Alligator mississippiensis: one gene and its partners. The protein of the gene in region 1 binds, or shares a complex with, the protein of each later gene. Links are inferred from orthologs where the notes say so. Each region holds a gene or a part of one and is shown on either strand. Other genes may lie near its edges. The genes, in order: ARID1B, DPF1, SMARCD3 and ACTL6B.

The links.
Region 2: ARID1B (region 1) and DPF1 share a complex: the UniProt entries of both Homo sapiens proteins name them as parts of the neuron-specific chromatin remodeling complex. The link is inferred for Alligator mississippiensis from reciprocal best matches to the Homo sapiens genes ARID1B and DPF1.
Region 3: ARID1B (region 1) and SMARCD3 share a complex: the UniProt entries of both Homo sapiens proteins name them as parts of the neuron-specific chromatin remodeling complex. The link is inferred for Alligator mississippiensis from reciprocal best matches to the Homo sapiens genes ARID1B and SMARCD3.
Region 4: ARID1B (region 1) and ACTL6B share a complex: the UniProt entries of both Homo sapiens proteins name them as parts of the neuron-specific chromatin remodeling complex. The link is inferred for Alligator mississippiensis from reciprocal best matches to the Homo sapiens genes ARID1B and ACTL6B.

What each region holds. Positions count from the first base shown.
Region 1 is NC_081824.1:135,152,969-135,160,001, forward strand, and holds the start of ARID1B (AT-rich interactive domain-containing protein 1B), read left to right. Parts: upstream 1-4,022; 5' UTR 4,023-4,444; coding exon 4,445-5,857; intron 5,858-7,033. UniProt on the Homo sapiens protein: Involved in transcriptional activation and repression of select genes by chromatin remodeling (alteration of DNA-nucleosome topology).
Region 2 is NC_081838.1:2,408,826-2,415,842, reverse strand, and holds the start of DPF1 (zinc finger protein neuro-d4), read right to left. Parts: upstream 3,015-7,017; 5' UTR 2,976-3,014; coding exon of another isoform or gene 2,876-2,975; coding exon 2,793-2,875; intron 1,584-2,792; coding exon 1,423-1,583; intron 1,249-1,422; coding exon 1,141-1,248; intron 1,052-1,140; coding exon 924-1,051; intron 833-923; coding exon 743-832; intron 594-742; coding exon 515-593; intron 78-514; coding exon 1-77. Other genes in the region: NUMBL (numb-like protein), read right to left, coding at 5,075-5,643, 6,137-6,271, 6,348-6,686. UniProt on the Homo sapiens protein: May have an important role in developing neurons by participating in regulation of cell survival, possibly as a neurospecific transcription factor. Belongs to the neuron-specific chromatin remodeling complex (nBAF complex).
Region 3 is NC_081828.1:220,569,163-220,577,178, forward strand, and holds the start of SMARCD3 (SWI/SNF-related matrix-associated actin-dependent regulator of chromatin subfamily D member 3), read left to right. Parts: upstream 1-5,013; 5' UTR 5,014-8,016. UniProt on the Homo sapiens protein: Involved in transcriptional activation and repression of select genes by chromatin remodeling (alteration of DNA-nucleosome topology).
Region 4 is NC_081838.1:23,998,615-24,005,842, forward strand, and holds the start of ACTL6B (actin-like protein 6B), read left to right. Parts: upstream 1-4,220; 5' UTR 4,221-4,302; coding exon 4,303-4,327; intron 4,328-4,520; coding exon 4,521-4,597; intron 4,598-4,951; coding exon 4,952-5,117; intron 5,118-5,592; coding exon 5,593-5,693; intron 5,694-6,333; coding exon 6,334-6,431; intron 6,432-6,958; coding exon 6,959-7,053; intron 7,054-7,228. Other genes in the region: SRRT (serrate RNA effector molecule homolog), read right to left, coding at 1,636-1,824, 1,914-2,060, 2,140-2,268, 2,561-2,679. UniProt on the Homo sapiens protein: Involved in transcriptional activation and repression of select genes by chromatin remodeling (alteration of DNA-nucleosome topology).

The DNA of each region.
Region 1 (7,033 bases):
TTATTTTCTATGCATCTATTCACTATTACTTTTCATACTTTTGCTCCTTTTATTTTATAAAATTTGCTTTGGCCAAGCAGAAGGCTGTCTTACGGCTGTGAAAGGTATATGGTGTTCATACTGGACCACCTAAACAAAGATGGCCTAGGGATCTGCACAGGTGTCAGAATCAACAACAGTAAGTTTAGAAAATTGTAACGTTAATCTGGGAAACTGATCCTAGAGCAGAGTTCTAAATTTTATCAAAAAAAATCAACATTCAGTAGGAGTATATAGCAATGGTTTATGCAAAAGGAACCAGTACTGTATTAAATAACATACATTTTTAAGAAATAATAACATTGAAGAAATGATCAAAATTTAAATACAAAGTTGCAGTTGTACACTTGTAAGACTAAAAACTTGATCTAGTCATTTTGCAACAGATAATATGCATGGCAATTACAGCTTTCTACATTATATGCATTTATATTCATAATTCATACATATGGAGAGAGCTTTTGGAAAGGATCATTTGAATTTAACATACACTACCACTCATCATCTGAGCAAAGATAGCAAAAGGTATATTTCTACATTATTTGCGATCTAAAAAACTGAACCATAGTTGCTTTGTGTCGTGCTTCACTTGCACAGACTGCAGTGCCTTCTGTCTACTTTAGGGTGTGGCATCTGCCATTGGGGAGGAAAAACTGGCATGTGTTGCCTTTTATAACAGACTGATTTCATTGTGCTGAGGGCCTCTATTTTATAGCCTTTTAGTTCCAATCTTGTAGCTGACTTGCTGAAATAAATGGAAGGACACATTTTAGTATAAACTTTTCAGTGCTGAAGAGTCCTCACTTTTTTTCCAGGGAAAATATTTTAAAAGTAAATCTGTGTTAAACTTTGTGGCTTATTTTCCTGTTCAGAACTAGTTACCAAGTAAGTCAGAAAGTATTGTAATCCTCAAGTGAGCTACCTTCAGTACATCTTATCACATTTTTATATATACCCGTATACACACATACACACTTTTACATTAATGTCTAAAAGCATAAATGTGTAATTGATTTTGTATTTGATTTTAGAACACACACATAAATAAATAGACACAAGTAGACCTCTATATTTATATTTGCATATGAAAGACTTCAAAAATCAACTTATGTGGTTTAATGTGTATAATTAGTGTGTGTTTGAATATGGAAAAGAAGAAAATCCAGGAGAAAATGTCAAAAAGGCTCACTAACAAAGATGTAGTATTCTCTTGGCAAAAGCTGATGAATGATTTGGCATGAATTCATCTTACAGTTCTGTTATTCTCTTTTCTACAAAGATGATATACCCTCTTTCTCGCAGTTTGCATAGAATTGCAATTTGTTGTTGTTGCAGGCTGTAATGACCCTTGGGTATGCACCTGATTCCCCCCACTAGAATTACTCACCAATTTTTTCCACACTCTCGTTTTCTGCTAACCGTATAACATTTCTACACTTGCAGTACCAAAAGAAAAAAAAAAAAGCAAGGTTGGATGTAGCTGAAATACAAGTGTTATCAACACATAGTTGACAAATTCTGAGACTTGCAAACTAACTTCATAATGGAAGTCCTAATATTTTCTGATTTTGCTGCACAGCAGTTAAGAAGTCAATAAACACCGGACATGCGTTGTTCATACATGTTTCAATAATCTTTGAGTGTAAGTCAACATTATATCATGAAGCTTCTGTTTTTCAATGTTTTCACAATGGACACAATATGCCTTCCTATTCATAACACTGTCTTCCAGAAAATACAGCTGTTTAAAACATTGTGATAAAATATTTATGCCAAGTAATGAATTTAAATCTTGACAAAATAACATTAATATCCTATTTTGCTGATGTCCGGAAAAAGCTAGTTGATTTTCCCCCTCATTTTACCAGTTAAATCTTGCATATGACTGTTACCTTTATGTATATCAAGTTATTACGTGAATCAAAGCAGTTATTTAAAAGAACTAACCACCAGCACTTGCCGAAAGGGCTACTATATAAATGAAAGTCATTATTATTAATGTAACAGTTTAATGCTGAGTAAATGTTGCTTTGCTCACACACTGTACTTTATATTACTACATTTCCACTAACATCTAGCCTATCCTGGAATAATGTTTGTGGATGTGATTGTAACACTGAAAATGTTTTACTCTCTTTAAGTCCTCTTGATCTGCATAGAAATACAAAGGATGTGTTGAAAACAGCCCCAAACCTAACAGTTACATTAAAGACATAATTAGTTCAAACAATCCCTAGGATTTTGAGCCAGCCGGACACTAGAGACAAGTGCGAAAATGCCCGTCGCTGAATTTCACATTGTATTTTACAAACCTCTGCACACCAAAGACATTGTTGTAAAATCGTATTTTATTTTTTCATCAAATCATCACAGCCAGTACACTGCATTCCTCTTAAGAATAGCAGGAGAAAGCTTTTGAACACTGCAAGGTGGACTCAGAAACAGGTTAGAGGTTTGGCAAATTTCACTAGGTTTTTGTTTTTCTTCTTAACCCAAAAGTATGCAGCACCCACAAGGTGTTTGGGTTGTTCTCTTGCCCCACTTTAGCTCCCAGACTACATTTGACCAGGACCCAAAACATACTTAGGAGGAGAGCTAAATTCCTTCCTGATGGAAGTGCTTTCTATTCTAGCTGAGTTTTATCTGTGCTGGATTTGACCCACGGCTGCCTAGTTCTTGGCTTTTGGATTTAGAGGAACTGGAGCATCAGTTTCATACACGATTAGGCTCTGTACAAAAGATGAGGGAATGAACTGGACCAAGTGAGTTTTCTCCCCACCCTCTCTCTGACACTAGGGTCACCCCTCTAGCTCTGTATCTCTCTAACACTAGGGCAGTGGTTTCCAACTTGTGGTCTGCGGAGCCCCGGGAGCCTAAGGGGTCTGTAAAAGACGACTACCATCAATTAAAAGTATTAAGAATACCTGCACACTTACAATTCAAAGGAGTCCGCATCTCCATTCAAAACTTCCAAAGGGGTCCGTGCCTCCATTTGAAATTTTTTATCAGTCTGCAAATGAAATAAAGGTTGCAAACCTCCGCAGTAGGGTAACCTCTCTCTCTCACGCTAGGGTCACCTCTTTCTCTCCCTAACACTAAGGTTACTTTTCTCTCTCTCACACTAGGGTCACCTATCTCGCTCTCTAGAACTAGGGCCACCTCTCTCTTTCTATAACACTAGGGTTACCTTGCTCTCTCTCATTATCTCTAACACTTGGGTCACCCCTCTTTCTAACACTGGGGTCACTGCTCTCTCTCTAGCACTAGGGCCACCTCTCTCTTTTTCTCTCTATAACACTATGGTCCACCTTTCTCTCTCTCCAAAACTAGGGTCACCTCCAGTGCTGTAGCAAGGGATTGGTTGAGTGGGGTGGCCACCCCAGGCACCAAAGTGACAGGGATGCCAACAGGCCCTGCCTAACTGGGCCGGGGGTGGGACAGAGCCACAAACAGCTCATGGCGGGGAGGGGGGGCATGGGGACACGGGGAGGGCAGCTCTTGCTGCTGCATTCGCTCCTCGGCAAGTATGAGGGGACATGTGCTTCCTGGATCTGTGCATGAGACAAGGGCGGGCTGCTGCTGTGGGCTTTGCCCCACGTGCCAAACTTCTTTGCCAGGGCCCTGGTCACCTCTCTCTGTTATGCTGCGGTTACCCCTCTCTCTCTCTCTCACTCTAACACTAGGGTTCCTGCTCCCTCTCTGTCTCCCTCTCTCTAACACTGGGGTCCTTGCCAGGCAAAAAAAGAAAAAGAAAAAGAAAAAGAAAAGCGGGGAGCCCAACCTTCCCCAGAAAGGTGCGGGACTCCCGAGGTAGCCTCCTCTCCTCTCCTGCCCTCCCCGCGCGCGGCGGCGGCGGCTGCGGAGCAGGAGGGAGGGAAAGTCCAGTCCGCGTTTTCCAGGCGCGCGGCGGCAGGCCGAGAGAAGTGGATAATAGTTGTCGGAGCTCGCTCTCTCTCTCTCTCGCTCGCTCTCCCATGCCATGCTGGGCCGGAGCGGCTCAGTCAGACGTGTATTTCCCCATATCCGGGTGAGGGAGGAAAAGGCAAGAAAAAAAAGTTTCATTTAAAACCCGAACCAACAAAAAAAAAGGAAAAAAAATCCCCCCCCCTTGAAAAAAAAAAAGAAAGAAAGAAACCCACCACCACCCCCGCTTGCTTCCAGCAGCAGCAGCGAGGGAGGCAGCCGGAGCAGGCACGGACCCACGGCCGCCCCGGACACGCGGGGAGGGGAGCTGCGGTAAATTTCGCGTGTGCGGCGGCGGGCGTGTGCGGGTCCCCTCCCCGGAGCCCGTCTCTTTCCTCTGCTGCGTTTTTTAATTCTTCTTCTTCTTCTTCTTCTCTGTTTTGTGCGGCTCCCCCCCCCACCCCTCCTCCTCCTCCTCCTCCCCGGGCCTCGCAATGTTGCCATGATCATGGCCGCGCAAGTGGCAGCGGCTCCGGCGGGGGCGAACAACAGCAAGGGCAAAGCGCCGGGCTTGCCGGGCAGCCTGAGCCAGGAGCGCGGCGCGGCGGCGGGCGGCGGCGGGGGCTCCATGCTGGGCGCCGGGGACGGCGGCGGCCTGGGCAGCGTCCTGCAGCACCGCGCCGAGCTGGGCACGGCCAACAACGCGGACAAGGACGGCGGCGGCGCGGCCCCGATGGACGCGGGGCTGCTCCCCAACCACAAGCTGAAGGGCGGCGAGGCGCTGCACCCGCACCATGCCCTGCACCATGCCCACCACCACCACCACCACCACCTCGGCGCCTTCCCGCCGCAACAGCAACAGCAGCCGCCGCCGCCGCCGCAGCAGCAGGCGGCGGCTCCGCACCATGCCATGCAGAAGAGCGGCGCTGCGCAGCCCAGTGCAGACATGGAGCAGCAACATGGAGGCAAGGACGGCGCGGGGGGCGCCCAGGCCGAGCCGCCGCCGCCCCTGCTGAGCAAAGGCGGCCCGGAGGAGGAGGAGGAGGAGGAGGAGGAGAAGCTGGGCGAGCCGCGCTACGAGCACCCGGCGCTGGGCGCGCAGCAGCAGCAGCAGCCAGCGCCGCCGCCGCAGCAGCCAGCGCCAGCGCCGCCGCCTCCCCCCGGCGCGGGCAGCGGCTTGGGCGCCGACTTCAGCGCCTACTTCGGCCCCGGCGCGGCCCCGGGCAGCGGCGGCGGCGGCAGCAGCTCCGCCGCCGCCGGCCGCGCCGGGCCTTGCTTTGATCAACATGGCGGACAACAAAGCCCCGGGATGGGGCTGATGCACCCCGCGGCGGCCCCCAGCGGCATGGACCCCCTGCACAACTCCCATGAGGGCTTCGCCAACAGCCAGTACAACCACTACCCCGGCTACGGCCGGACCGGCGGCGCGGCGGCAGCAGCGGCGGCGGCGGGCGCGGGAGGAGCCAGCGGCGCGTATGCGGGCTCGTACGGGGTGCTGAGCTCGCCCCGGCAGCAGGGCGGCGGCGTGATGCTGGGCCCCGGCGCGGCGGGCGGCCTGGGCAAGGCGGCGGCGGCGGGCGGCGGCTTCCAGCGCTTCTCCAGCCAGAGCCCGCACCCGTCCGGGGCCACGCCGACGCTCAACCAGCTGCTCACGTCCCCCAGCCCCATGATGAGGAGCTACGGCAGCGGCTACGCCGAGTACAGCAGCCCCGGCGCCCCGCCGCCCCAGCCCCAGCCGCAGGCGCAGGCGGCCGCCGCGGCCCCCGGCAGCCAGCAGGCAGCGGCGGGCATGGGCCTGGCCAAGGACATGGGCTCGCAGTACGGGGCGGCCAGCCCGGCCTGGGCAGCGGCGCAACAAAGGAGTCACCCGGCCATGAGCCCGGGCAGCACCGCGCAGCCCCTCAGCAGGACCCAGGTAACCGCAGGGTGAGGGCCAGGGGTGCCCTCCCCTCCCCTCCCCTCACGCGTGTGGGCGGGCGGGCGGGTGGCAGGAGCCCCGATTTCTTTGCCGGGTTGGTTGCTTGTTGCTCAACTCTATGGCAAGGGGGTGTCCCCATGCCCGCCTCTGGCTAGGCCGGGGAGCCTCTGGGGTGGGCTGGATGTAGGCCGTGGGCTGTGTCGCTTTTTTTTCCAGCTTATTTGTGCCTCCCCTCAAGCCCCCAAGCCTTTGCCGTCTGTTTTGAGCCAGGGATTGCAGGGCCCCAGTCCCAAAGTGGGGTGGGGAGGGTGGGAGAAGGGATGCAGAGGGAAGGTGCTGCTTTTCTGACCACTCCAGCAGCGCCTGGGAGCGGATATTGATCAGTCTCCATCAGGATTTTTTTTTTTAAATTTGTCTCTTTCTCCCCCCCCCAACCCTCCAGAGCAAAGAGCTCTGTCCTGCCTTTTTACCCAGATGAGTTCATTGTTGGGAAGGCGCTCCAAACACTGCCAGGTTCCTTCTGGCGGCTCGAAACGTGCGTGCCGTAGTGGCGAAGGGTCCCCTGATCCGCCCCGAGATCCGTCCTAGACCTCGCTGGTGCGCGCGTGTCTGCTCCCCGAGACAAGAATAACCCGTTGGTAGAAGTGCGGGGGGTGTTTGGAGCAAGCCGTGCCCGTCCAGGCATGCATGGTCCCCAATTAGAGCAGCAGAGTCCTTCCTTTGTAGAAACAGGCCTAGCCCCTGAAAGCCCTGCTTGTTTGGACGAATGCAGGCGACTGATTAGCTAAATCCAATATATTACTAAATCAATAGATAGCAAATGATTGTTGGATGCTCTGTATAGCTGGCTATTTTTTTTTTGTCCTCCTCCAAAGTCAAGGGCTTGATTAGAAAGGGCTTTGCGCTCTTGGTGTTTCTTGCTAGCAGTCTGAACCTAAAGAGTGACTTGATCTCCTTTGCAAGGTTTGGAATTTGAATTGTGGAGGTAAACTGGCTGTAATAGTCTCCAGACAGCTGCCTCTGAGTTGACATCTAATCTGCCATCTGATTGGCTCCTCTCTCACCATTGGGCATTTAGCACTGCTGATGTAAATAGAAGTGCTGAGCAATACAGTCACAAAAATTCTTGCCACAAATAATAACTGAGCAGTAGCGCTCACAGATGCAAGGTTA
Region 2 (7,017 bases), on another chromosome or scaffold:
GCCCTCCTCCTCGGCCAGGTGCGTGTGCGTGTAGTGGTAGCTCAGCCCCGGGCGGTTCTTGTAGCGCTTCCCGCAGACTGGGGGGGCGGACACACGGTCAGAGCCCCCGCCCGGACGCCTGGGCTCGCTCCCCCGCAACTGGGACCTGTGGGGGCCCTGAGACCACGACTGCCCCCCACCCCCGATCTATGGCCAGCAGCTGGGGGACCCCTCCAGCTCCCGCCCTTTGCCCCAGACCCCTAGCTCCCCTGAGACTAGAGCTGGGGGGGCCTGTAGCCCCAACCCCCTGCCCTGCCTGGACCCATGGGTCCCCCGAGCCTAGGGTTGGGAGGGGGCTGTAGACCCAGCCCCCTCCTCCCCCCCCCAGACACCTGGGGTCCCCCAAGAGCAGGAGCTGGAGGTTGGGGGCCCCCGTCTGCCCCCTTGTCCGGACACCTGGGTCCCCTGCGGCTCGTAGCTGGGGCAGAGGGGCTGAGCCCCCCGCCCCGCCTGGACACCCACGTCGCACACTCACTGTCGCAGACGTAGGGCTTGTCCCGGTCCTCCAGCGTGGCCGCATCCTGCCTCTTGCGCATGCCCCCGATCCCGTACGCCTGGTGGGGGTGGGGGGGGGGGGGCGCAGGGAGAAGGAGGGAGGTCACAAATTTCCGGGGAGACTCCCCCGCCTCCCTCTTTTCGCACGCCAGGCCGGACCCCAACCCGCCGTCCCAGGCCCTGGGGGCGGCAGGGACCCCCCCCCGACCTTGCCCTTGGCCTTGTTCTTCCTCCGCGGGAGGTCGTCGTCCAGCTCGTCGCCCTCCAGGTCGTGCGGGAACTCGCCCATCGGGGGCTTCTGCAATGGGGGAGGGGGTCGCTCTAGGGCACCTGCCTGGGGCAGGGGTCCCCGTGGGGGGGGCCGGGCGGTTGGGGGGGGGGGGTCTCACCTGACAGTCCAGCACCATCTCCTCCTCCTTCAGCTCCGTCTTCTTGTCGCCCGTCTCGGCGCAGAGCAGCGCCTCCAGCACCGGCCCCTCGGGCAGCCCCCCCTCCTTCTTCAGGGGCGCCTCGCAGTCTGGGGGGCGGTTGGGGGGGGGGGGGGGCACGTCAGATCCGGCCGGACCCCGGCCCTATCCCCCAGCCGCCCCCCACCGCGGTCCTTACCGATCTTGAACTCACACGGCCGCAGTCGCGGGTCCTCCAGGATGTTCAGTCGCCGCTTCTTGCGCCAGCAGCGCGCCGGGTAGGTATAGATCTGCCCCGGGGCCAGGCCTGGCGGGGGGTAGCATGAGCCTGGAGACCCCCCCCCCCCCGCCCCCCACAACCCATCCGAGCCAGCCTCGCCCCCCCAGCTTAGCAGGGCTAGGGGGGCAGGGGGCTGCGGGCCGGGAGCGAGGGGCACCGGCGGGAGGGGGTGGTGGGACGGGGGCGGGGTGGGGGTCTCACCGGGGCCACGGTGGGTCTTCTCCATCCAGATGTAGCAGTTGCTCTGGGCGACGCCGGTCTGCGAGTCGAGGAAGGGCAGGCGCATGCTGCGCTCGGCGCAGAGCCGCGCGTTGTAGCTGCGACAGTGCTCGATGGCCTCGCGGTAGAAGTCCTCGCCCAGGCTGTGCGGGGGGGTCGGGGGGGGGGGTCAGACCCCTGCCAGGCCCCCGTTGCGCCCCTCCCACCTGCCCTGACCCCCCCTGCTCTGCCCCTGCCCCCCACCCCTCCCACCACCGTGACTCCAAGCAGCCTTGGGGACCCTGCGCTGGCTCCACCCGGGGGGGCCTGGACCCAGCAGCGAGCACGGACCCTCCCGGGATGAGCCGTGCCCCCCCCCCAAATAGCGCCAAGGCCTCTGACTGCAAGGCCACCATGGGATGACCCGTGACCTTTCGCGGGAGCTGCCGAGGGGTCGGCTCTGGCACCTGTGCCAGGGGGCAGCACTGAGCAGCCAAGGGGGGGGGTGAGGGGCACCATGGGAGGTTGGGCAGCAGCTCAGATGACCCCGGGTGACCCCTAGGCTCCTGACGGGGGGGGGGGGTGGTCCCAGGCTGACCCCCTGATTAACCCTTGCCCTGCTGTACACAAGGGTGCCCATGCCCAACCCCTGCCCCACGCACATCTGGCTCTGGGCAGGGAGAGGACCCAGGCCAGCACCTGCCCCGATTGCCCCCCCTGCCCCCAGTTCCCTTCCAAGCCGGACACCCGGGGTGTCTGGGCCGGGGGTTGGCGCAGGGGCCGGGGGCGCGGACGCTTGGGCTCCCCCCAGCGCTGGTGGGGGTGGGGTCTGCGGGGGGGCCCGGGGGTGCGGACGCTGGGCTCTCTCCCCACCTCTGCACCCCTCTGACCCAGTCACCCCCCCCACCTTCCTCATCAGGACCAGGTGCTGCCCCCAGGTGACCCCAGGGCCCTGCCCGGCTGGGGGGGCACGACCCTGGCCCGAGGGTGCCCCCACCCAGGCAGCGCAGGGAACAGGATTTAGGCCCTGCCGGCCCCCCCCCCCCGCCCAGCGACACCCCGCTTGGGGCCGCATCTGGGGTGCAGCCAGGTGGCAAGACGGTGCCCCTCGCTCCCGACCGGCAGCCCCCTCCCTCCTGCCCCAGCCCCGCGCCCCCGACCCCCAGCCCCGCCGGTGCGCCTCGCTCCCGACCCCCAGCCCTGGCAGTGCCCCTCACTCCCGCCCTGCAGCCCCCCCTCCCCTCCCCTCCTCTCCCACCCAGCCCCACCGGTGCCCCTCGCTCCCGACCCCCATCCCCGCCGGTGCCCCCCACTGCCGCCCCGGCTCAGGCCTGCGGCGCTCTGGCTGCCGCCCCGCAGCCCCCGGCTCTCACCCCTCCAGCGGCTTGTGCACCGCCGTGGCCATTTTGCACGGTGGGTTTTTCACTTCTCGCATCGGAATCCGGGGCGATTTCATTCATTCCCAGCCCGCAGCGGGGGGGTGGGGGGGAGGGGGCGGCCCCCCCCGCCCCAGTGCATGCTGGGGGATGCAGTCCGTCCCCCCCAGCCCCCTCCATCCAGGCCCCCCCTCCCCAGCTTTGCACATCACCGCAGTGGGTGGGGGGGGAGAAGGGGGGGCTACTAGGGTGGGTGGGAGGACTACAAGTCCCAGCATGCCTTGCGTTTGACAGCTGCAAGGCCCGCCCCCCAGGAGGACACAGATTGGCTGGCAGAGGCGAGCGGGGGTGTCTGTCAGCAGGGGGGGGTGAGGGCAGGTGCAGGTGAGAGCTGCTGGGGGGGGGGGGGTTGTGGCTGCCCTCTCCCTGTGCCTCAGTTTCCCTTGGGGGGGTTGGAGGGAATGAGGACTAGTGGATGCAGGGATCCAGGATCGGGCCCCGCAGAGTGGTGCCAAGCGCTGCCCGGACCCCCACCCCAGATCGGGGCCCCCATGCCAGGCACCAGCAGGCTCGGGGTTACCCCACTTGTGCCAGGCGCCGCAGCCAGAATCGGGGCCATTGTGCCAGGCGCTGCCAGGATCGGGGCCCCCGCATGCGCCTGGCACTGCCTAGACCCCCCACCCAGGATCGGGGCCCCCGCTTATGCCAGGTGCCACCTAGACCCCCACCCAGGATCGGGCCCCTCGGGTGCTGCCCGGCCCCTTGCTCTCGGCCAGCCGAGCCCCCGAGGAGGCCTGGGCCCGACGAGACCCCAGCCCCCCTGCCCCATTTCTAACCCCGCAGACTCCCCTCCCCCCTGGGACCTGGGGGACAACCCAGGTATCTGGGCTCCCGCTCCACCCGCCCCCCCCAGGCAACTGGGCCCCTGCCCGACCCCTTCTACAGCTGGGGAAACTGAGGCATGGCACCATGGCAGACCCTGCCCCCCCTTCTCCCAGCTGCACAGGGAGCCCAGAGCTGCCCCCCGCCTCTAACCCCCTCCCCAAAGCTTCTTGCCCTGACCCCCACTCAACCCTCCCTGCCCCCCCCCCCCCAGCCTGGCCCCACCCCGGGCAGCGCGGTGCCTTTAAGAGCTCTGGAGCATCCCTCCCTGCCGGTTCCCATGGCAACCGCGAGGGATCCATTTCCGAAAGCGAGCAAAAAAGGCCATAAAAATATATTTCTCCCCCCTCCCCCCCCACAATCCCCTGGGAGCAGGCTGGGCCCCCCCCCGGGCAAAAGCAACCCCCCCCAGGAGTCAAAGGGCGAGGCCCCGACTGTCCCCCCCCCCCCCAACATGGTGAGCCACTGGGCCACCCAGGGACGACACCTGCAGCCACTGCAGGCCCTTCCCTGCCCCGGGGTCAGAGGTCAGGCTTGGCCTTCTGGCCCTGGAGCTGGGGGACGTTTGTGCCTCCCCAGGCCCTGCCCTCTTCCCCATGTGGCAGCTGCCTGGGTGGGGGGGGGGCGTATTTGGGACAGGAAGTGACCAACAGGGCATGATCAAGCCAAAGCCATGAGAATGCCCCCCCCGCCCCCCCACAAACAGGGCTCCAGGCGGCTCTTCTAGGACTCTTGTTTATTGGCAGCTCTATGATACAAACCCGCACGCGGCCCCAGAGTGGGGGGGGGCCAGCCCCGTCCCACCAGCTGGGCCGGGGCTTCCCCAGCCTGCCCCACAATGCCCTGGGGCCATTGGGGTGGGGGAATAAAGTAGAGGACCCCACCCACTGCATGACCCTCCCCCAACCTGGAGAATGGGGTGGGGGGGGGGGTTGGCTAGGCCTGGACCCCACCAGCTGGGCTGGGGGCTGGAACACAAAGGGTTAACACATGTTGCTCCCCCCAAACCCCAGGGGGCTGCGGGAAGACCTGGGGGGGATTAGACAAAAATACAAAAATCTGGATTTTAAGTTAAAAAGAACAGACATAAAATTGGGGGTGGGGGGGGAGAAGAGACCCTCTAGACCCCCCCAGTATAAAGTGTGTGTGGGGGGGTCTCCTGCTGTTCCCAGCACCCCTGCTTACAGATGCCCCCCCCATGAGATGGGGAGGGGGATTAAGGCACCCCTAGGTGCAGGCCGGGCCTGGGGGGCTTCACAGGGAACTTTGGGGGGGTCCTGCACCCCCGTTAACCCACATGGGCCACAGGAGGGGGGGTTCATACCCCTTTTAGCCTCCCCCTGGCAAACCAGGACCCTCATCTCGGGTCCAGGGGCTCAGCAAGGGCGCCCCCCGGCTCACAGCTCGATCTCGAAGGTCTTCGGCCTGTCGCCAGCGAAGGGGTTGGGGGGCGCGGGGGGCTTGGTCTCCAGTGCCGCCCACTGTGCCTCGAAGGGGTCGGTCGCGGGGGGCACGGGGGGCTGCGCAGCTGTCTCGGGGGGCCAGGGGGCGGCCGCCGGCTTGGGCTTGGGGGGGGGGCCGGAGCGGGCAGCAGAGCAGAAGACGTTGGCCACCATCTGGGAGGGGGTGAGGCCGACCAGGGGCACGTGGGGGGCGGCGTAGGGCAGGCCAGGGGGGGGACAGGCACCCAGGGGCATGAAGCTAGGGGGGGCAGCAAAGAAGCTCAGGGCCGTGGGTGCTGCCTCATAGCCCAGGGCGTAGGGGGGCAGCGGGGCCACGGGCAGCGCCACGGGCAGGGCCACCATGGCAGGTGCAGGCAGGGGAGGCGGCGGCTGTGTGGCCTTGGCGGCCGTGGCCACCTCCTCCAGCCACCGCTCGGCCTCCGATGGTGTGCGCCGGTGTCCCGGCGCGACGGGGGGTGCGGGCGCCACGGGGTCTGGGGCCGGCGCCGGCACTCCCCAGGTGGCTGCAGGGAAGGAGACAAGGGTCAGGGCAGCTCGGCGGTGGATGGGGGACCTGGGGGTGGGGGCGTGACCACAGTAGGGGCGTGGCCATACAGGAGGGCAAATAGGGGTGTGGTCACTAGAGTTGTAGTCATGTCTGGGGGCGTGGCCACACCTGGGGGCATGGCCAATAGGGGGTGTGGTCATATCTGGGGGTGGGGCCAAGAGGGAGTGTGGCCAGTTTACGGGTGTGGGCACATAGGGAGTGTAGTTGCAAGCAGTAGGTGTGCCCATACTGTTGGGGGGGGGGGAGGGGGGCGCCCATAATGGGGTGTGGCCATATAGGGATCATAGTTGAGAGCAGGGGTGTGGCTTTACTGAAGGCGTGACCACAGCTGGAGCACAGCTGCCATCAGGGGGTGTGGCCATAGCTAGACATGCTGCTGCTGCCTAGGGGCGTGGCCATAGGAAGAGGCATGGCCACCTCTGCTGAGCCCTGAGTGGGCGGGGCAGTACCTGGGGCAGCAGGCAGGGGCGGACTGGGGGCGGTGGCACCGGGGGGAGCAGTAGCGCCGAGCGAGGCGTCGATTTGGCTGCAAAGTGCGGTGATGCCGTCGGCGTCGCCGGGGGGCGTGGGCTCCATCTCCAGCACTAGGGCGCAGAGACAAGGTGGGAATGAACCCCGATCTGACCCCCCTGCAGCCCCCCTCCCGCGGCGGTGGCTCACCAGGCCCGGGCTGGCGGTACAGACCGCGGCGCTGCAGCGTGGAGGGCAGGTCGTTGAGGCGCAGCGAGAGCTGGCGCTTGAAGGGCGAGTTGCGCTGGCTGAGCGCAGGGAAGCCGCGGAAGGAGCCCTGGCGAACCAGCTGCTCCAGGGGCGCGTGGCGCCGTGGGATGGCCTGCGGCCGGCCCCCACCCTCCGCGCCCGCTGGTGCCCCCGGCTCCGCCATGCCTGCTCCGGCGCCTGCTGACGGTGACCCGCCGCCTGGCTGCACGGGGACGGGGGGTGCTGACGAGGCGGCGGCAGCGGTGACGGCGGGGGCGGCCGGGGCGGCCGCAGCCTCTGCTGGGGGGCAATGGGGATCAGACCTTTCCTGAGACCCAGACCAAGGTACCCACTGCTGCCACCCCCAAGATCCACCCCCCACCCCCCGGGAGACCCAGCCCCACCCAAAAGCCCCCTACACGTACCCCCACCACAGCCCCAGGCTACCCATCCCCCAAGTGCTCCCAGCCCTCTCCACAACCTCTAGAACAGGGGGGCTGCAGGTGAGGACCCCTCTCCCTGTCCCCCAAGAAGTGCTCCTCCCTGCCCCCCACATGACCCCCTACCATGGCCCCAAGCCCCCCAGGACCCTCCTTACCCCCCAAATACTCCCAGCTCCAAACATGGTGGG
Region 3 (8,016 bases), on another chromosome or scaffold:
CAGCCACTGCCCTGGGCTCTGACTTTGCAGAGGCAGCGGTGGGGGGGAGAGTGCCCCCACATGCCCTGGGGGTGTGATCTGGACCTGCTGGCAGGGGCAGGTCCTTTGCTCGCTCACCTGCTCCTCCGTGATGGTCAGCATTGCAAGACCTTCCTCTCTTACTTGTTGCACAGATGGTTTTGTTTTCCATGTTGGAGATGGATTGAGAAGCAGCAGGAAGATGGGGCGTGCACGGAGGTAGAGCAGTAAGTTACCAGTGTGGTGATTGTGGGCGCAGCCACGTAAGTAGGTAAGAAAGCCCAGAGAGGAGGCCACAGAAAGAGCGACGTTGCAGCTGGCAGTGACCCCTATATGCATATCGGGGGCCTGACGCTTACAGTATAGAATAAGGTTGTGACCTCCTAGTGACTAGCTAATGGGATGAAGTTCAGTGCTGCCAAAAGCAAGGTGTGGCACTTGTGGGAGGCTAATCAAAAATGCAGCTACAAATTGGGTGACACCCAGCTGGATGGGAGAATTCGGGGAGAGGTCTGGGAGTCCCCATGGATCGGGCTCCACAGGAGTTGGCAGCATGATGCAGCCGCACAAAAGGTGAGTGCGGTTTTGGGCTGCATCAGGTGCAAGACATGGGATGGGAGCATGCCTCTCTGCGTGGCACTGGTTAGGCCTCACCGAAATAACTGTGTTGCTTTCGGCTCCGTGTTTTAAAAAAGGATGCAGAGAACTTGGAGAGGATTCGGAGATGGGTGCCTTCTTCGGCGGCGCTGGCTGTTGCTGCAGCAGGCTGAGGGCTGCGCAGCTGCTGTGCCAGCGCTCCTGCTGGGACTGAAACCCACAGGTTCCTGGCTGGACGCTCTTGCCCCGGCCCCGGGTCCTGCCTGGGATCTCTCCAGCGTATATTAACAAGCTGTGTAGCAGCAGGACGTCGGTTGCCCTGATGCCCCTGCGTTCCCCGCCACAGGGTCAGGTGCGGTGCCCAGTGCCGCACCAGGGTTGACTGCAGGCTGCCCGAGAGGCTGCACAGCGGATTTGTCTGGGATGGTTTGGGCAAAGGCTGGACTAGACGCGACCTCTGGAGGCCCCTTGCAGCCCCACGAGAGCACGCGTTCGCAGCCGGTCTCTGAAACGTGGTGTGCCGGGGGAAAGGCCTGGTCTTCCTCCTGTGGAAATCCCCCTGGCTTTTGCTAAACAAAACGAAGGAGGGAGTCCTGGCTCTTGGTCAGGAGCCCCAGCAGCTTCAGCCACCTCTTGTAAGTGTCTCAAGCGCCAAGCACCGGGCGAAGGCGGCTGTGACCACGTCAGTCCCTGCCCAGCCCTTCTCCCCGCACCGTTCTGGTTAGGGATCGCGGCACCTGGAGCGCGCGCTCGCTCTGCCAGACGGCGCTGGGCGTGCTGGCGCCGGGCCCAGGAGACGAGCCCGTTCTGCGCCGGCAGGCTGAGGAGCAGGAGCGCGGGGCAGGCCGGCAGCAGGGCCGGGTGAGGGGCTGCTGCGGAGGCTCGCTGCCCGCCAAGGCCCGGTGGCCTTGCCTCTGGTGGCACACCGGCAGGCACTGGTCAGGCCTCGCCCCCGGGCAGGCGTTAGGGCAGCACTTCCACGGGGCGGCTGCGGGGCCGGGTGTCGGGGCGGTGCTCGCCGCGCCGTGGATGCTGGCGAGGCGGCTGCGGGGCCTGGCATTAGGGCGGTGGTTGCCGTGCGATGGATGCTGGTGAGGGGCGGTGATTGCTGTGTGGTGGACACAGGTGAGGGGTGGCTGTGGGGCCCGGCGTTAGGGCGGTGCTCGCCACACGGTGGATGTGGCTGAGGGGTGGTCACAGGGCCGGGTGTCGGGGCGGTGGTTGCCGCGTGGTGGACGGTGGCTGGAGGGCGCTGAGCAAAGGGCGGCTGAGAGGCCAGGTGCGGGGGCGGTGGTTGCGGTGCGCTGGACGTGGACGTGGACGTGGGCGCGGGGCGGCTGCGGGGCCTGGCGTCAGGGTGGCGTTTGCCACAGGGTGGATGCGGGCGCGGGGCGGTGGTCGCGGTGCGGACGTGGAGCGCGGGGCGGGGTGCGAGGGTGGTCGTGGTGTGGTGGCTGGGGGGCCGGGGCGCTCCCGGCCTCGCTCGGGCCCAGAGCCGCGGCGGGGCCGGGACCCCGCACCGGCACCCCCCGAGGCGGGCGGGCGCTCCCCCGCGGCCGGGCCGGGCCGGGCTCCGGGCGCGAGGGGGTTAAGGCGCCCGCCCCGCCCCTCCCCCCGCTCCCGCAGCCGGGCCGCGCCGCGCCGCGCCGCGGGCTGACCTTCACGGCCCCGCGCATGCGCCCCGCGGCTCCCGGCCCGGCTCGGCTCGGCTCGGTTCGGCGCGGCCCGGCAGCTGCGAGCGCCACGGGGCGGGCCCGGGCGGGCGGGCGGGGCGGGAGCGGGGCGCGGGGCCGCTGCCATTCGGCGCTTCGGTGGCTGGAGCCGACGTGGGGCGCCGAGAGGGGGGCTCCGCGGGCCCCGCGCAGCGCCCGGCCCGGCCCGGCCGTGCCCGCCAGGCCTGGGCGTGCCCCTGCGGTGTCCTGCGTGTGTCTGCACAGGACCCCGTGTGTCTGTGTGCGTGCAAAACCCTGCTTGTTCATGCAAGTGTGCACGGGATCCCACCTACTGTCGCACGTGCACGCGTGTGAGACGCCACGTGCCGACGCGTACCTGCGCTCCTGCCTGTTGGTGGGCGTGTGAGACCCGGCGCACACGTGCGCGCCTGGTGTGCGGCCCTGCACGCGTGCCCCACCCCGGCGCATGGGGGACGCAGGCCGTCCAGCCTGTTTGTGGCGAGCCCCCGCGCCGCGGCAGGGGCCGGCCGCGCCATCAGGGCCTGGAGCCGGCCGCGGCCCCGTGCCCTCCCGCTGCCCCGGGCGGCCTGGCCGGGCTGGGCTAGCGCTCCCTCCAGAACGGCGTCTCGGCACGTGCAGGCAGGGCCGGCCCGCTCTGCGGGCGCAGCAGCTTGCGCCCCCCCCCCGTGGAGGGATCCAGGGAGACGGCCCCAGCATCCTCTTGCCGCGGAGGCGGGAGCGTCCCAGCCGTGGGCGCGGTGCCCGGCCACGAGGAGCGGGACGAAGGCAGGGAGGGCGCATCCTGCGTCGGAGGATGCTTCTGTTGCAGAGACGTGGGCCTGGTGCTGCCCACCAAACAGGGACCCGGAGCCGGGGTTCAGCAGGACGGCGGCCTGCCACGCGCTGCCCAGCGCCCCTGTCCCCCCGGCTCCTGGAATCCCCCCAGGGAGCCCCACGCAAGTGCCGGGGTTGAGCTGCCTGGTCCCCATGCCTCGGGGTGGGAGCTGCGGCGCGGCGCGCTTGCAGCTCGTCCAGGGTCTCCTCCACGTGGTTCTGGCTGCAGCAGTTGGGTCAGCGACCGCGAGAGATCGGTCGCTTCCCGGCTCCTGGACAGGAATTGCGAGCAGGAGGGAAGGATAAACCCTCCTGTAACCTGGCAACGTGTCTCTTGCTGTGGCAGCAAACCCTGGCAGGCTGCGGGCGCATGCGGAGCTGTCAGCGAGCAGATTGCTGCCCCAGGCCACGGCTGCGGTGATGGAGGAGCCAGTGCAGCGGAGCGCAGAATGGCGGCCGCTCCAGCAGCCCGGCAGCACCCGCACCTTTCCCGCCGGCTTGGGCGCTGGGAGCAGGCGAAGGCTGTGAAACCCATCTTCCCTCCTCTTCTGCTGCCCCATCCCTCCCTTCTCCCCTTCCCTGGGCGTGGCGGGGCGCGCCGCATCCCTGGGGACAACGTGCTTTGTCGTGCACGTGAGGCTTTGTGTTGCACGCTGCTGCCGCTCACGCGGGGCAGCATGTACAGCGTTAATGATTTGTCTGTGTGCATCCATCCATCACGGGGGTCTGTGACAGGGCTGGGACAGTGGGCCGCGAGCATCTCGAGGGCAGGGCGCCTAGCCGGGGAGGCGATCGGGATGCTGCGGGCAGGCAGGCGGGGAAGCCAGCCACACATTGTGCCCTGCCGTCGCCATGCTGCGCTGCCTCCTTGGCGCACGCTCCCCCTCCGCCTGCCTCCCTCTCCTCACACTCTTTCCTTCCCCTCGCTTGCGCGCTGCCCTTCCTTTCCCCGGATTTCTGTCTCCTGCTGGTGCCGCGCTTGTCCGGAGGGGCTTGTTCTTAGCCTTCTGTGCTGGAAATCCTGCCAGTGAATGTTTCTGTGCTGCCTGCCACGTCCCTGGGGAGAAGGCCTGGGAATGCAGTGCTGGAGGAGACCAAGACAGCTATTGTTCCCCACGGCTGCCGGGTGCTTTCTTTAGCTGGCAGAGCCTCCCTGCGAGCTGCTCCATGTCCTTGCCGGAGCTCCCCCTGCACCCCAGGGCCCAGGATCCTGTGGCGCTGGAGAGGAGAGGCTGCAGTGCTGCTGCTGGAAGGCTCAGACGTGTTTTCAGTTTGCCTCCCGCTTATCTCTGCTGTTTGGACAGAGAGGTTTAAAAGGCTGGATTTTCTGTCCCTGCAGAGTAAACACACAGACCCGGGCAGCACAAACTATTTCTGGCTTATCAGTTGAGGAATGCAGCAGCTGAGGATTAGCGGGAGTGGGCCGTCAGGAAGGCCCTGAAGGGGCCCCCTCCCCACTCCGCTCTATTAGAAGTGTGAGAGCCCAGCAGGACTCAGAGGGGAGAGTTGGAGAAAAAGGCAGAAAAGGGAAAGAAAGAGGCAGAGGGAGAGGAGAGAGGCTGAGCCGACCCGATGGCCACGGATGAAGTTGCCGGCGGGGCTCGCAAAGCCACGAAAAGCAAACTTTTTGAGTTTCTGGTCCACGGGGTGGTGAGTCGGGAAAGTTAGAGAGCTGGCTGGTGCTGAACAGAGGGATGAGCGAGCCAGGCGCCAGGGCTGGGCTGGGAGCAGCCCTGCCGTGTGCCCTGGGTGCTGGCTGGCGGTCCACGCCGCGTGGCAGGAGCAGGGGATGGGCCCAGCTCCGTGGGCAGGCGTTGGGGTGAGGTGTGCAGCGGTCATTGCTTCTGACGCTGTGGGAATGGGGGGGCGGGTTTGCTTCCAGACCGGTTCCGGGGCAGGGGCCAGAGCGGATCCGACCCCTGCGGTCTCGCAGGGCGCCTGGTTCTGCAGTTCAGCTCCTGCTGCGTGCAGGGATGCTGGGAAAGCCCTGTGCCGCGGGGCGCGGGACTTGTCTGTGGACTTGGCTCTCGTGTGTCCCCTGGCTACCTAACAGGTGACTTCCAGGGGCTCCAGGAGACTAGCTGTGCGCTCGTTGCTGGGGAGCCTCAAGCTGCCATACTTTGGGCACCCTCAACATCCTTGTAGCCTTCCTGTGGCCATTGGAGGCCTCCTGACATTCAAGGGATTGCCATTCGTGAGGGCATGCCTTCCTCCGCCTTGTGTGTCCCTCCGGGGCTCCCAGCAGTGACGGAGAACAATTGCAGCTTGTGACATTGGGGTTTCTTAAGGAGACGTCAGTGTAACAGAAGGCGCAGTGCTGGGGAGTCTGAGGAGCGCGAAGGCTGAGTGGCTGTCAGAGCTTGCGTGCACTTTCTCTTGAGGACCTGGGATCTGCTTGCAGTGGCACCCTCTTCCAAGCCGTCACAGAGGGCTCTGCGTTAGAGTCCAGCAGCCCACGGTGCTGCCCCTTTGGCGGCCTGGCTCTTGCCCTCGGTTTGCTTGCCTGGAGCGTGACGTCTTTGACAAACCCCCGAGATGGGGCGATCCGGACCTGCCAGCCTAGGGCAGTGTGAGCAGCATGCCGTTTATATGAGAACAGCATCCTAGTGACCGCGGCACTGGGGACCCGCAGGATTAGTGACTGGCAAATGAGCACTGGTTGTGAGCAGTGCCCTTGGTCGTACAGCTCGAGTCTGGGGGCAGGCCAGCCTGTGGGGTAGCACGCCTGCCAACGGGCAGGCCTGTGCAGCAGACTGTGAACGGGGGGTGACCTAAGGGTAGAGCTGAATGCATGGGGCAGTCTGCTGGCTGGCACATGCGGACGGCCTGTGGGGCAGTGCAGCACGGGGTGGGCATGTGAGGCGGCCTGGGAGTCGGGAGCACGTGGGTGGCCTTTTAAAGGGTCAAGTGTTCTCTTGGCAATGACAGGCCAACGCACTCCCTTCAGTACCGGGGACAATGGCTGAAGCGGTGGTGAAGAGACCCCCTCTCACCTGTGGGTGGGTGAGGGGTGTCAGGGTCAGTCATAGATTCATAGATGCTGGGGTCGGAAGGGACCTCAACAGATCATGGAGTCCAACCCCCTGCCTAGGCAGGAAAGAGTGCTGGGGTCAGATGAGAGTCAGGCTGAAGTCAGGCTTTCTGATGCAGAACTGGGCCTCTCCAGCGCTGGAACTGCCTGAGGATGTTGACAGTAGTGGATGACCAAAAACTGGCTTCCGCTGTGTGCTTGGCCTTCCAAAGAGCCTTTGCTGTAGTTTGTCGCCATGCAGGCGGCATTGGAGACTGGCTGCCTCGTCCGCGAGGGGATTGCAGGCTCCAGCATCGCTCCGCGCATGTGGCTGCAGTCAGGCAGATGTCTGGGGCGGAGGTCGCTGGTGCCGGTGTGGCACAGCTCTCCTCAGAGCAGCCCACTGCTCCTTAGCAAGGCCCCGCAGGCCTGCCCCAGCAGCTTCTCCTCCCACTCCCTGGGCAGTGGAGCCCTGGCATTATGTTGTGTGTTTTCCTTTTACTGCTGCACTGACCCTGATCTACTCTTTTAGTTCCTTCACCTCCGTTCTTGCCTCCTTCCTTGTCCTTCTCTGGACGTGGGCACAGCCAAGTCTCCTCCACCAGAAGGAGAGTCTCTCCTGACCTCACCTGTCTCGCCAGCCTGCGCTCCTTCATCTCTGCTCTGGCCCCTGTGCTCCTCCATCTCCGCCTCCAAAACGACTGAAGGAGCCGTCACAGCTGCTGCCTGCGCTCTCATTTCTCTAGCCACTCGGCCTCAGGCTGCAATGGGTCATGCAGTTTCCGTGTAAAAGCGAAGGCAGCAGCAGAGTCTCTGATAGTGTCCATGAGGCTGTAGCTCTTGATATGGGGGCAGAAGTGCTTGAGGTGATAACTGATGAGTTTTCTGTCAGGGAGGGGCGCCAGTGTCCTCAGCAGTGTTGTTGCCAGTGGTGGAAAGGATTTTGGAGAGAAGACTCTTGCCACATTTCCTGGGGACTGAGACTGGACTTCCCGAATCCCTGTCGGCACACACTTTGTCACCAGCTCTTGTGTCATCGTTCTGGGCTCTGCCCCTCTCCTCCATCTCTGGTCCTGACCCTCTCTTTGCTCTACCCCAGTGATCCTCAGCTGGGCGGTACAAGACCCTATCAAGGGTCATGCACATTATGAGTCCTGTTAGGTGTCCAGACACTTACACATGATTCATAAGATAAACCCAGAGATTTCAAACAGGAATCCCCAGCATCACAAACTTTCAGACCTGCTGTGGTCCCTCTTGCTTTCTTGTCACAGAAGAATTGCTCTTATTTTTCCATGGTCGAGAAATGAGTGACAATGAAGAGGTGGCATTTTCTGCGGGGGCCTGGAGCCTCACAAGGTGTGTCTTGAGTCTGGAAAGGTTGAGAACCTCTGCATTATCCAGACTGGTCTCGTGATGGGCAAGATCTTGAAGCCTGTGCTGTAGCCTCATTCTCCTTAACTCCATGATGGCCTTTGCTGCTGACAACCACACCTTCCTGAAATCGCTTTCTTGGCACTCCTGTCCTTTTATGGTCCCTGCCTACCTCAAGCCTGCTTTAACAGGTCCTCCTCAGCCTGTCTTGGTGGACACCTCTGAAGGCCCTATCTCTGGCCTGTCCTTTTCCCCTCTCTGCACCCTGTTTGCAGTGCTCTGATCCAAAACCCTGCCGGTAACCATCTTTATGCTGATATACCAGTCTGCTGGTCAGCTTTCTCCCTTCCTTTAACCAGTAGCACATTCTCACTTGCCTTTTCTGGCATCTGTTCTGGGTGTCCAGCCATCAAGTAAGCTCAGCTTGAATAAAACAGAGGTATTAATCTCCTACAAACCATCACCTTTCTACCTGGTGCTGCCCCGGCCGGTCGCGTGGACCTCCTCTTT
Region 4 (7,228 bases), on another chromosome or scaffold:
GGCAAATTTCCCGGCCTCTCTGTCTAATTCCTGCCGACTTTTACGTAGTTCTAAGGCACCACATTGTGCGTGGTGGGCGGGCCCTGGCTGTCTGGCTAACGAGGGCCCGGATGGGGAGGCAGCCGCCGGGAGTCGGTAGCGCCGAAAGCACCGGGATTGGCACCGGAAAAAAGAAAATAATGGAAAAAAAAACGGCTATTTTTGGTCTCTCCGCAGGCGGGCAGCTTAATTGGCTTCTCTCCTTTCTGGCTGGGAACCGGGTGGAGGAGGACGTGGGGGGGGGGGGAAAAGAAGGGTGAGTTATAATTAACATCCACAATGGAACGGAGACGGACTCGTTAAGAGAAAAAAGTCAAAAGCTAACAAAGGGAGAAGAATTTAAAGGGAAAAATGCAAGAATTGGGGTTTCAGGTATAGATTGGAGTTTGTGGTTTGTTTGGTTTTTTTAAGGAGGGGGCTGTCAGCTTGCAGGACGCCTGGGTTCTCAGGGTGTAACAGGGCCCCCCTCGGAGCAATGGGAGATGCAGCTTGTTCTGGGGAGGGGCGTGGATAGGTGGAACAGGCTTGGATGCACCCAGCTCTGGGAGAACCAGGCTGGGTAGAACAGGACAGGATATGCATAGCTCGGGGGGTGGGGAGGGTGTCAGGCTGGGTGTAACAGGCCCAGGTACGCCCAGAGGGGCATGGATGGGTAGAGCAGGCCTGGATGCGCCCAGCTCTGGGAGGCCAGGCTGGGTGGAACAGGACGCGGGTGCTATAATGTGGCTACCTCGGAGTTGGGGTTTACACTGAGATCTATACTGGGACCAGTCTGGAGACAGTCCCCAGGGCCTGTCTGTTACTGGGGAGACTGGGCGGTGGGGCTGCGAGAGTAGAAGGAACCCAGGAGTCCGGCATGGAAGGAGCCAAAGAACACAGCAGGGGCCGGGCTGTACATTGGGGAAGGGGAGCACTGGCCCCACCCCCAATCTCCTGCCCTTAATTGGGACCAGTTTCACCCCGCTGCTGGTTCCCAGGTCCCATACCGAACCCTGGGGGGGATGGGGGTGAAGAGAATAGAGCTGTGGGTGGTCTGCACCATTCCTCATTCTTCAGGGGTGGGGCAGCTGTGTGGGGGCACACACACATGATTCTTCATCTTTGAGAGAAATGAGATGTACCATTGCTCATCCTGATGAGAAATGGGACATACCATTCTTCATCCTCAGCAGAAATAAAACGTGCCATTCCTCAGATCTCTGAGAAATAGGACACAGCACTGCTTGTTCCTGGGGAAGGGAGGAATGGGAAATACCATTTCTGATGAGGGGGGGACATGACAGGATGTACAGTAACTCCCCACTCTTGGTGGGGGGGAGAATGGGGCATACCATTCTCCACTCTTGGGGGGGGAATGACATGCCACTCCTTATTCTTAGGGGGTGAATAGGATGCACCATTCCTCATTCGGGGCGGGGGGGGCGGGCGGACGGGATGGGACATGCCATTCCTCATTCTTGTACGAGGATAAGAAAAAAACCATTCCTGATACTTGTGGGGGACCAAGACGTACTATTCCTCACTATGGTATGGAAGGAAACACACCACTTCTCACTCCTACATGGGGACCGGGACTCCAGGGGGGGCGGGACGTACCATTCCTCATCCTTGTGGGCCAGGAAGAAGTCCTGCATCTGCTGGCGCCGGAAATCCAGCTTGTAATCATTGTAGCGCTTCACAGCCTCCGTCTCATCCACCGAGTCGTCCAGGGACAGCAGGAACTCCTTGAAGCTCTTCATCACAGGTGGCGCCATGCCCAGGTCCACCTCCGCGATGTTCCCCAGCCTAGTGGGGGGGGCAGAGATGTCGGGGTAGAAGCTGAGGACAGGGCAGATGGGAGTTGGGAGGTTAGAGGACAAAGGGCACACACTTACCTTGCCTGGATAGGCAAGATGTGATGCTGCATGACATGCATGTCAGGGTGTGCCCAGGGCTGGGGGGGGCCGTAGGCTGGCCCGGCGCCCCCCCCGCTGTAGGGCATCTCGTAGCCGCTGTGGTAGGGGTCCCCGCTGTGCTCATCCCTGCAGGGAGAAACAGGGGTGTCAGAAGCGGTCAACCCATGGGGGGGGGCGTGGGGAGGGATGAGGGGGTTGGACTCACCAGTCCCGGCGCATGCGCTTCTGTGGGGGGCTGAGCTCATGGCGGGGCGGGGAGAAGCGCTCCCGCCGGTTCCGGTCATAGTCTCGGTACTCGCCCCGGCTGCGGCGCTCCCGCCCACGGTCCCAATCCCTGCCAGATTAGGGGAAGGAATTAAAGGCACGGGGGCAACATCTCCCTCTGCTGTCCCCACATACCCCCTCCCCAGGGCTGGGTGCATCCAGGCTTGTTCTACCTAGCCTGGCCCTCTCCCTCTCCCTGAGCCAGCTGCACTTTAACCCCGCTTGCTATACCTCCCTGCTCTTCCCACCCTAGAGCTGGCTACATCCCTGGTGCTGTTACACCTGGCTGTGCTCTACCCCAGAGCTGGGCGCATCCCGGCCCTGTCACCCCCCCCAGCCGGGCGTCCCGGCCTGGCCCCCACCGGTCGTTCCAGTCATCGCGCCGCCGGTCGTCGCGCTCCCGCGAGCGGTCGTAATCGCTGCGCTCACGCCGGAACTTGTCGCGGCGCCGCCGGTCGTACTCATCGTCGCTGTCTCCCATCGCTAATGCCTGGGGAAGGGAGATATCAGCGGCTGCTCCGGGGGTCCAGTCCCCCATCACCCCAAGCAACTGTTGCCATGGATACCCCAGACCCCTCCCACACCCTTCGTTGCCATGGCGACCCCCACACCCCCTAAAGCCCCCACCCGCTAAGGCGCCCCCCTCCCGTTGCTATGGCAAGCCCACCCCCGTTTCCATGGAAACCCCTCCCCAGAAGCCCAGCGCCCCCCCGCACCTCAGGGGTTGAGGGGGGCCTGGGGTGACACTGGCTCCGCTCGGCGCGAGGCGACCGCAGCGCGCGCGGCGGAAGCGGAAACGGGGCCGCGCCGGAAGCGCGTAGAGGTGGTGGCAGGGGGCGGGGGACGCTCTAACCACGCGCCTCTCCGGGCCGCGGCCCTAGCTGGCGTGGAGGACTCGCTGGGGACTCTCTAGCCCCAGCCTCTGGTGCGGAGGACTGACTAGGTCTCAGCCCTCTCTAACGTAGAGGACTCGCTAGGGGCCGGTCTAGGAGGTGGGACTCTATGGTTCGGAAGACTGTCTACCTCCCGCCTCTATGGTGCAGAGGACTCACTCAGGTCCAGCCTTCTATGGCGTGGAGGACTCGCTCGAGGGCGCCCAGCACAACTGAGGGTGGGGGGAGGGCTCGGAGAGACCAAGTCACTGGATCTGGGGGGAGGAGGTGGGTGATACCAAGTCTCGGTGTAGGGGGAGTTGAAGAGACCAATTCCCTATAGCGGGAGAAGGGGTGGGTGATACCAACTCTGACTGCGGTGGGAGGAGATGGGAGAGACCAATACAGTAGCTATGGAGGGAACAGGTAGAGGGGTGGGTGATACCAACTGTCTCAATGGCGGGGGAGGTGGGAGTGGGAGAGACCACTTCACAGGGTGTAGGGGTGGGTGATATCAACTCTCTTGGTGCTGAGGGGCGGAGTGGGAGGGAACAACTCACTGGGCATGGGGGGATAGGTGATACCAAGTGGGGTGGAATGAGAAACACCAAACCCAAGATAAGGGGGGGAGGGTGATACCAACTCTCTGTTCGGGGAGGGGGGGAGAACGGGAGAGGCCAACACATTCCTAGCGGGGGTGGTGGTGGGAGGGGACTAGGATGGACCAGACTAACTAGGTGGGGGAACGTGGGAGAAACCAACTGCTTTCATGAGAGGGGAAGCAGGGCGATACCAAATCACGCCCCACCACACCCAGCCTGAGAAAGAAATAACCCCCCCAGCACAGCTGTGGTGCAGTCCAGGCTAAGGCACCCCTTCACCTCACCACCCCTAGCCCCGCCTCCCCCGTGCTGTGATTTGCATAATTAGCCGCGCCTCCATCCCATACCCTAGCCCTGCCCCGTTCCAGCCTGCATCCCATGCACGTGCTCCCGGGAGCTCGGGGAGAACCCAGTCGTCCGCCCCAGCTCAAAAAAAATCTCCCGCCTGCCCCTTTAAGAAGCAGCTCAATTGTCACTCATTGTCTGCCCGGCCAGCCAATCGGGAGCTGCGCCGGGAGGGGACGGCCCTGGGATTGGCTGCGGCCGCTCTTCCTCCCCCGCCCCCCCGGACGCTGTCCGTCGCCGCGGTGCTGAACCAGCCGCGCCGCTGGGACCTGCTGCCGAGCCAGGATGAGCGGAGGCGTCTATGGGGGAGGTGCGGGGGGGGCACCCGTCCGGGCCCCATAGAGAATGCAGGGACCCGGGACCCCCCGCGAGAGACAACCCAGGGGCCCGGGACCCCCTATCGAGAACCGAGGCATTCTGTCATTCTACCCAGTCCGGCCCCCCCCCCCCCCCCCCAGGCACAGCTGCATGGGGAGGGGTCTCACGTGCTGTCTTCTCCCCAGATGAAGTCGGGGCACTGGTCTTTGACATCGGCTCCTTCTCGGTCCGAGCCGGCTATGCAGGCGAGGACTGCCCCAAGGTACGCGAGTCCTGGATCAGGGCCTCTGGGCTGTGGGGTGGGGAGTAGGTTTGAAGGTGAAGCCCCCTCCCCATCCCGGGTTGGGCCCTCTGAGGGATGTTGCATGCTCTGCATCTAGCATGGGGCCAGGATCCGGGCTTGGGGGTCAGGATCGGAACTGGGGGGCTGGGGTGGGGTCTATGGGGCTGGGATCTGGGATCAGAGGCTGGGATGGGGCTGGGGTCCAGGATTGGGGATTGGGGTTCATGATTGGGCCCAGGGGCTGGGAGTGGGAAATGGGGGCCAGGCTCGGGGATCAGATCGGGGATTGGAGCCAGGATCAGGGCTGGGGCACTGTGCTGACCCCCGCCCCAGGCGGACTTCCCCACCAGCGTGGGGCTGCAGTCGCACGAGGAGGCAGTGCTGGAGCTGGACGGCGACAAGGACAAGAAGGGTGGCAAGGCCTACTACATCGACACCAATGCACTGCATGTGCCCCGCGAGGCTGCCGAGGTCCTCTCCCCTCTCAAGAACGGCATGGGTGAGCCCTGGCCCTGTCCCCAGGCCGCCAGGCCCCACCCCCATAGGTGGCTGCCCTGGGCAGGAGCCAGGCTATGCCCTCCTAGGCCCAGGTCACACCCCCTTGGCTCTGGTCACACCCGTACCTAGCCCTGCCTCCCTACAGGACTGGCCACACCCCCTTGGGTCTAGCCATGGCTAAACCCAGCCACACCCCCTTGGCTCTGGCCACACCTGTACACCCCACCCCCACAACCCATGCCCCACCCCCTAGGCTCTGACCATGCCCAAACCAGCCCTGCCCCCTACAGAACAAGCCACGCCCCTGGCTCTGACCACACCCCCTACATCCTAGGCCATGCCCCCACCCATAATAGCAGGGGGGCAGAGGCCCCACCCCCACCCCTACCCTGTGGCCACACTCCCTGACACCCGGTGCTGCACCTTGTGGTGCAGGGGGCAGGGCCAGTCAGCTGACCCTGCTCCCTGCCCCCCAGTGGAGGACTGGGAGTGCTTCCAGGCCATCCTGGACCACACCTACAGCAAGCACATCAAGTCGGAGCCTGGCCTGCACCCGGTGCTCATGTCCGAGGCGCCGGTACGTGCCCATCGTCGCAGCAACTGCCCCCGGCAACTGCTCCATGTCCTCCCCATGGCAACTGTGTGTTCCCCCTCCCCCCATCCAGAAACCACCACCCCATCTTCCCCATGGCAACAGCATGTGCCCCCGGCTACCACTGTCCCCATCTGTGTGTGCCCATGGCAACCAGGCCCTGCGTGTCCCATAGCAACTGGGCCCCTATCTTCATAGCGACCAGGCCCTGCATGTACCATAGCAACTGGGCTCCCATCTCCAAGTAACTGGACCCCCCCCCACCTGTTCCATAGCAACTGGAATCTGGGCTCCATAGGAACCCGACCCCCTGCCTGTCCCATAGCAAACACAGCTCCCATCTCCACAACAATAGGGGCTCTGATCCCCATAGCAACAAGGGTGTGCATCTCCATAGCACCCAGACCCCCTACATGTCCCATAGCAACAATATCCCTCTCTCCATAGTAACTCGGCCACTTGCCTATCCTGTAGCAACAGGATCCCATCTCCATAGCAATCGGACACCCCTGCATGTCCTATAGCAACCAGGCCCTGCATGCCCCATGGCAACCAGGTCACCCCCCCATCCCCATGGCAACTAGACCCCCCCCATTGCCCTAGCAAGCGGCCCATGTCCCCGTAGTGGAACACGCGGGCCAAGCGGGAGAAGCTGACGGAGCTGATGTTCGAGCACTACAACATCCCGGCTTTCTTCCTCTGCAAGACCGCTGTACTCACCGCGTATCCAACCCCCTGGAGACCACCACCCCCAGACTCTCTCTTCTTCCTCTGCAAGACCGTCGTGCTCACTGCATATCCCCCCCACCCCTGGGACACCCCCTGGGACCCCTCATAGCCCCCCAGAACCCCTGCCATGCTCACCTTGTATCCCCCTGGGATTCACCCAGACCACCCCCTGGGATACCCCCAAACCCTTGGGACCCTACCTTCCTCTGTACGACCACCATCCTCACTGCATATCCCTCAATGTCCCCCCTGCTGTGCTCCCCAAGTATGTCTCCCCAGACCCTCCTGGTCACAACATACTCTATGGAGGAAGGGAGTGGAACACCAGGACACCTGGGTTCCAGTCCAGGACCTCCCCTCCAGGGGCCCCAGCCCCACCCCCGCACCATGAGCTCAGCATGTATCCCAGACAGCCTCCCCCCATGCCCCCCTGGGCCCAGCAGAGAACACAAGCATCCAGGTCCACTCCTGCCCAGGGCAGGCAGAGAACCCAGGTGTCCAAGCCTTGACTCAGGGGTCAGCTTTGCCAATGGGCGCAGCACGGGGCTGGTGCTGGACAGTGGCGCCACCCATACCACCGCCATCCCGGTGCACGACGGCTACATCCTGCAGCAGGGTGAGATCCCCCACCTGGACACCTGGGTTCCCCAGGGGGCACAGAGGAGGCAGCCTGGATGTCTGGGTCCCCTCTGGGAGCCAGAGGGAGAGGTCCCCAGATGCCTGGGTCCATTCCCTGTGCTTTGAGAAGGGCGAACTCTGAGGGGGGGAGGGGCGGGGACATGGCTTCACAT